Bombyx mori: one gene and its partner. The protein of the gene in region 1 purifies or fractionates together with the protein of each later gene. This does not show direct contact. Links are inferred from orthologs where the notes say so. Each region holds a gene or a part of one and is shown on either strand. Other genes may lie near its edges.

Evidence for each region.
Region 2: the proteins of mediator of RNA polymerase II transcription subunit 4 (region 1) and rho guanine nucleotide exchange factor 7 purify together in Homo sapiens (affinity purification with mass spectrometry; 3 studies listed by BioGRID and IntAct, with this or other methods). This does not show direct contact. The link is inferred for Bombyx mori from reciprocal best matches to the Homo sapiens genes MED4 and ARHGEF7.

Annotation. Positions count from the first base shown.
Region 1 is NC_085112.1:8,190,208-8,193,966, forward strand, and holds the start of mediator of RNA polymerase II transcription subunit 4, read right to left. Parts: upstream 2,176-3,759; 5' UTR 1,920-2,175; coding exon 1,852-1,919; intron 1,779-1,851; coding exon 1,598-1,778; intron 1,459-1,597; coding exon 1,307-1,458; intron 860-1,306; coding exon 681-859; intron 133-680; coding exon 1-132. UniProt on the Homo sapiens protein: Component of the Mediator complex, a coactivator involved in the regulated transcription of nearly all RNA polymerase II-dependent genes.
Region 2 is NC_085110.1:9,314,666-9,318,324, reverse strand, and holds part of rho guanine nucleotide exchange factor 7, read left to right. Parts: intron 1-74; coding exon 75-296; intron 297-478; coding exon 479-691; intron 692-3,647; coding exon 3,648-3,659. UniProt on the Homo sapiens protein: Acts as a RAC1 guanine nucleotide exchange factor (GEF) and can induce membrane ruffling. Functions in cell migration, attachment and cell spreading. Promotes targeting of RAC1 to focal adhesions. May function as a positive regulator of apoptosis.

The sequences.
Region 1 (3,759 bases):
TAACTTCAACATCTTCTTGGTTGGGAGCATCCTTCCCTCGGCCATCAATAGCTACAGAGTTACCGCCTCCAACAGACATGTGTAGCTCGCCTGATGGATGCCAAGTGAATTGGCTTGAAGCTGAAGCTGGTACTGAAATAATATAACACAGTAAACCTGATTAACAAGCAAATGGTTTTACATGTTTTTTTTACCTAATGCAATTAACAAAAGGGTAAAATGTTTCTGTAAAATTCTGATGATAAGAATATTCTTAAATAATTTCCATGGGTTATGGGTTTTGAAGGAAGCCTCTGTTGACAATATTAATAAAAAGAGGTGGCAATAACATAGGAGATTTTTTTTATTCTTTACAAATCCTATAGAAATTTGATCATTAATTCAACTTTCCTGAAAAATATTATTCTTGTATATTTGAGTTTAATACAGTGGTCCAAAACATGATATATCTGCCAAAGCACTTGCTGAGTAGTTTAGGTGTTTGGTGTTCCCTATCACCCACTTCTCTCATAGCTATTAATAACTATGATAATACATGCTTATTGTAGATGAATCAAATTAACTATAACGATAAAGTACCAATACTAGAATTGTATAAATATGTACTGCACAAAGAGTTCTATACATATGCAACTTGTTCTAAGAATGATTCATTAATATAATGAGTAATGCATTTATACCTCCACCAGTTGTTATACGATGAAGTTCATTCAGTGTAGAAGGCGTGTGACCATTCAATGGCAGATCACAGAGGCGACCGAGCATTCCTAATCTCATTTCTAAATCAGTTGGATAAGGCCGACGAGGATCACCAGGTTGCCACGACAAAGGTGCGCTGACAGCATTAGATGCACTTATTCTGTAAAATATCAGTAAGTCAAAAAAAGTTTTTTTAAGTACTATTTAGTTCTCACATCAAAAATAGTGTACTGTCTAATATTTAAAAATTCTTTTTAATGTAATTTAATTAAAGTGTAACTCTATAGTTATGAAAGAAACTGTTTTCTGTAGATAGTTATTTTCATAACATTGTTGGCTATTCAGACACAATACCTAATATCCATTCAGACTTTTTGCATTAATAAACTTAATCAACTGTTAATATACTAAACATCTCATTGATTTATTTGTTAGTCAATGTGCCTACTATCATTGTCTCACTGTTGTCATTGGTCAGGTTTGAAATCTCTGTTGAGATCATAAATATTTAATATTCAATATTTAGGAGTACTCATCATGTGTTTTAAGGACCTGACTCAGAAAAAATATTTAATTTCAATGTAGAAATCTTTAATTGTTTACTAACCTGTGTGCAAATTTGATCAACTCCTCAGAGGGTACAGGTCTCTTTCTAGACTTCACTATTGATGCAAGTTTCTGTCGAGCTTGATACAGTGATGTAGCCAGAATTTGTTCTGCATCTTTCAATTGTCTTTGAAGGTGATATATATCTTGATCCTTAGTAACACAACAAAAACATTTCAATTACATAATTCGCTTGTGGCTTAAATTGTTGTGAACTAGCAGTGGATGAGTCAGTCCACTCCAAAATTTTATCCATTTTTTACTTAAAATAAATCTCTTTTGTAGTATTTACCTTACTATCTACTTCAGCTTTGAGTTCATTCATTTTCTGTTGGATCTTTGCTTGTTCGTCAGCTAGGTCTAATGTTTTTTTCAATTCTCCATGTTTTGATAGAAGTAGGTCCGTCAACTGAGCATGATCTGCAGCGGACACTTTCTGTGGTTTTGGTGCTATGGAAACTTCTATTATTTCCCTGAAAATTTAAAGAATTAGAACATGAAGTTGATCGGTAATGTTTTCCACAGTTCAATCGTGTTTTAACTCACTTAGCAATAAGTTCGATATCATCTATTAGTGCCAATAAGCGATCTTTAGTACTTAAATGTGACGCCATAGCTCTATATAGCTTAACAGCTTTTTTTAATATAAACGATATGTATTATTTCCTTATATCATATGAACTGGACAAACGACCCCCCAACGCTGCGACTCTTGGGATTTCTTGTATCAAAAACGCTACTATGTACGTGGTAACTACATTCAATGTTTACAGTAAAAATAATAACATTGTTTGATGTTTCCAATACAGCAGACGACAAACGTGAAAGTCATAGACTATGTTCCACAGCAAGCACAGACTAATAATTAGTAGAGCCTTGAAATATTTTTCTCTATGATATAGAGAAACTTATTCTCGTACTTTTACAGTTTTTCTAGTTTTAAAGTGAGTTTCAGTATAATTTATATCTACAAACTTTGTTTTATAAGGCCGTAGCCTATTTACGTTATAAGAAATAAAATAAAATTTACTACTGGTAACGAGATGAGATGATTTACTTTTTCTTATGAAGATGGGTGAATGACCTCAAGGCCTATTAGTAGTTACCGGAGCTTAAAGACATCACAAAGTGATTGCTGCCCCCAACTTTAACTTCACTTTTCTATTTTACACTATAAAGTGTGTTCCACCCTTTAAATCAGAATGCATGATTACTTGGCGGCAGAAATACACAGTACGCTGGTACCTACCCATGTAGAGTATTGTAGAGTCTAGTTATTATGATATGATCTCTCAGTAAAATCGTGTTTATTTCCTGAGACGTTAATTGAAAGACTCCGAAAAACCACATGTAGCGATTTCGTTTCATTTTTCTACCCGTTGTGCACTTTCATGAATTTGAACATCGTTTGGTCATCATTCATCGTTCTCGTTGAACCCATCGCTTGCGACGAAGGCTCGGCTAGTAAAATAACCCACAAATAAAGCCCACTGAATTTCTCGCCGGATCTTTTCAGTGGGTCGCGTTTCCGATCCCGTGGTAGATTCTGCAAAGTATTGCTCTTGCTAGGGTTAGTGTTAGCAACGTCGTCAGGTTAGATCCCCGTGAGCTCACCTACTTAATAAGTTACACTGACATAGCTCTCAAGCTTAGATAAAAAAAAACCATTTCACAGGTTCAGAATATTTGTCAGAAGAAATACAATATTGGTGTAATAAAAATATTCTCAAAATAAAGGACATCTGATTCCATCAAAATTATTGAAACACTGCACAAAAAAAATTATTCTATTAATTATTAGACTTGCGAATACTGAAAAAGGATTGAAAGATTGTGATATTGATTGTTATGGTTTATTTATAATTCGTAATTATTGGCGGTATAGCGTAGGTTGTAGATACGTATCTACGACCAAGCTTCCTATTATTGCCACCTACCAGTTATTCGTTTCGGTATAAAGGGCAAGATAATAGACAAAACAGTTGAGACTTCGAATCCTTAATTCAATCAAAATGGATGGTTACTTACACGCTGTGATGCTCATATTATATCTTCCGATAATCAGTCAATACGGAGTTAAAGAATGGTGTTGTTAGGATGTCTTGTGAGTCCGCACGGGTAGGTACCACCATCCTGCCTATTGCTACCGTGAAGCAGTAATGCGCTTCGGTTTGAAGGGTGTGGCTGACGTTATACTGTTAAAACTGAGACCTTCAAACTCATGTCTCAAGGTGGGTGGTGGCATTTACGTTGTACATATCTATAGACTCCGGTAACCACTTAACACCGAGTGGGGCGTAAAGCTCGTCCAACCATCTAAGCAATAAAAAAAATATGTTAGATTGCATTTCACGAACTTGCAATAGGAGAACTTACAATGCAAAAGCAGACTTGCCTTGCACTCTCTCGAGATCATAAATTTCGGGCTTCAGTTGATTTATTGCTAGAGCTCCG
Region 2 (3,659 bases), on another chromosome or scaffold:
CTTCAATTACAAACCATTGTACATGCAAATTACCTAATACAGCTGGATTATTCTATTTTTTTCCTATGATTCAGAGTGCTTGTGCGGCATTGCGACGTCAAAAGGAGTTAGAATTACAAGTTATAACCGGAGAAGTTCGTGGCTGGCCCGGGGGTGAACTAGCCTCATTGGGTGACGTGTTACATATGGGCAGCGTGGCAGTGGGCCCGTCCCATCAGGACCGCTACCTTGTACTCTTCCCATCAGCGCTGTTATTACTTTCAGTTAGCAAAAGAGTATCTGCATTTGTGTATGAGGTAATATTTAGTTAATAGCTTTAACTACAGAGTTCAAAGTCGTAAATCATTTTAATTATGACAACCGGATGGTCTAATTTAAAAGATTTGAAAGAGAAGAGTGTTTTCTGATGCCTGTTATGTTTTCTGCTGCTTACAAATAAAGAAATTATTAAATTGACGTGAAATGTAAACTTTTTTAGGGATGTCTTCCACTGACAGGCATCACAGTGTGTAAATTAGATGATACTGAAACAAGAAAAAATGCATTTGAAATTAGTGGTCCCATGATAGACACTATAGTGGCAGTGTGCCAAACAAAAGCTGAGGCTGACAATTGGGTCAGTTTGTTACAAAAGCATTCTAACACGAACAGTCCAACACACGAGCCTGGACAACCGCAGTCATTACCTCATGTAAGTTACAATTCCACATTTTCCATAATACTATATTAGAGTAATTTTTTTAAACACATGCAATGGCACCACTTCCATTTTCTTTACTATGTGTGCCGAAACCATGTTTCCGAGACGTACATAAGTACAGTCAGACTCAAAATTTAAATATTTTCGACAAAGAAATTTACTATACCCGAGAATCGAAAGCAGACCCCGTGATACAGCTGTCAGGGTTGCTGCACCGTCGACGCGTTAATTTCACTATTGATGTTGATTTTGTATTTTTAATTTAATCGTAAGATAATAGACATTAAAAAACAATTATAGTACATTACCTTTCCTCTTGAAAAAGATATATACTTATTTTGTGATATTGTTACTAGCTGACCCGCTCTCCTTCTGAAGGAGCGTTGTCTAGTATCAACTCTAGCCGCCGAAGTCTTTATCACGTGACGCTACCACCTCCCAGCTACCCTTCTGCATCTCCATATTATTCATTAACGAAATATTTTGCGAGACTTGTTAAGAAAAAAGTTATAACAAAACAAATGTTGCGTAAACTATTGCACGAAAGAACATGGGCGAAAGCGTTCGAATTGTCAGGCTTGCCTATTAGGAGGAGACACAAAAATCAAATTAGGCTAAAAATTGAAAACGACGGCACCATCGGAACTGAAACAGAATATTCGGATAGCGACGATAGCGACAGAGAAGGCAACACTAGCTCGAATTGTACGGATGCCGAAGCAGCAGGCTGTTTGAAGGTACTGAGGCAGGATGCTATGGACAGTCCCAGAACAATCTCCTCTTCGTACAGTAGTTGGGGTAGTAATATGGGCTACGTGCGGTATTTCGATAACAATTCAGATATGCATTTAGAAGAATCACAAAATCTATCGAATTTGACATTAAAGGGAGATTGCACCAAAGATTTGTTTCAAGCGATGTATGGTTTTAATGAAATAAACAGTGAAAGTGATCGAAACCTGGATTATGATATAGTTAATGCACAAAATGTATTTGGAGGGTTTCCTGATTTACAAGAATATGAACCACATTCCGAAAGAATTGAAAATTCAAGCTTCGAAGCTCGACCTTACATGGCTTGTGAAGATTTAGTGAATATGGATCAAAATACACAAATAGAGACGCTAGGAAACGATGACAAAGATTTTTTACCAACAAGGCGAAGCTATCCCAACTGCAGCGTAAAGGTCGACACGTTGCCAAAACAATGGAAATCGACAGAAGAGAACTACACTACTAGAGACAGCGGTGGATCCTTAACATCCAACTTATTACAAGTTTTAGATCCGCCCTCACCAAAGCGATGCAGCCATGACATTGATTCCCTCATAATAGATCCTCCTCCAATGTTTCGAAATGAAGATGATATGAAAGTTATTAACGTAAATCTGAACACAAATGTTCCATTTCGGAAACATTCGCTAAATTCTGATAAAAAAATCCGACGTTCTATGTCAAGATCTATGGTGGAGACAGAAAGTAACAGTAATAAAGATGACGGAAATCGGGTACAGAGAATGAGTTCACAATCAGATAATGATAAAATCCACAAGAAGTGTGAGTGCTGTAATAGATCCTTGTGTCCTAGTCCAAGATCCTCAGATTCAGGTGTTGTGGGTAGTTGCACCCTAACATCACCAGACATGCACGATTATGCCAGCTCAGGCAATACAGGAAATGATTCCGATCATAACGAAAAGATACCTGATCGGAATAACATGAGAACACCAGAAGAGGCTCGTGACACAAGAGGTCTCCGAAGGAAACTGACACTGTCAGATATAGAGGCCGCTACTTTTGAAGATCAATGTCGGTGTACATCTCCGTTCGGTTCCACGGCTAGAACCTCTTGCGTTACGAGTGTGACTTCGGAGAACAGCTTAGACGTAACTGATACATCGAATACCCATCTAAAGTCAACGTTTGCCGCCACACCTCCCGTACCGACTTCACAAATCAAAAGAACGTCTATAAGGAGGAACATTGAACGTTATGTACCAGAGATTAAACTGAAACCGGAGCCGCCGCCGAGAGTATACCGAAAGCCTAGCACTCATTTGGAGGTCCCTAAGAATGTTCGGCAACACTTACCTTGCCAATGGGGTACCTTGAATATTACCGAGCGTTCTAAGCCTAGTCTTCACTATCACATGCGTATATACAAAGATACTTCGGAAAACGTTAACGATAGAAAATCGCGTGTCAACACACCGCGGAATCGCGACATATTTTGCAACGATAAGAAACAAGATAGCAATGCCGATTTCGAACAAGTGCGAAAAACAAGGTCTCGCAGCGAAGATCTGTCGAAATTGCAGAAGGGCTTAGCTGAAGGGCAGAGCGGTTTCGTGGTGTATCGTTCAGATTTGTACGCTCACTGGTGGATGAAGGCAAAATTACCGATAACCGTGGTCACCGACTCAGGCAAGGATTATTCTTTTGTAAAGAGATACTGTTTGTGTATCACTGGTTTGAAGATAATATTGCCTTGAAGTTTGCAACCATTAGATTAATGCTGTTATTAGAGTTACCCCATCGATGGAGTGCTTTACTTGATCATCCTTGCCTGTGTTTATTCATATTACTAACTAAAAAGAGATCACTGCAAGTAGATATCATATGTTTAATTGTACTAACAACAAAATCCGATACGTGATGCATGGAAAGGCTTGCATACCTTGTACTTCCCATGAATTGGAGATAAAAACCAAAGAGATATAAATCAAATTTGATTTTTTCACTTATTTTAAATGTCTTAAATCTAAAAAAAATTTTGATGTTAATACATTGTTATTCAAATGCTGTTCAAATTTCAATTCTGTGTTTGTTTACGAGATAAAAATACAGAAACGGACAAAAACGATACTGGATGTTTAATGTCTGAATATTCTGCCGCTCAATACAATATACTCGACTAAGAATGTAATGACAGTAATTTTCTTTACAGATGGCCACGAGC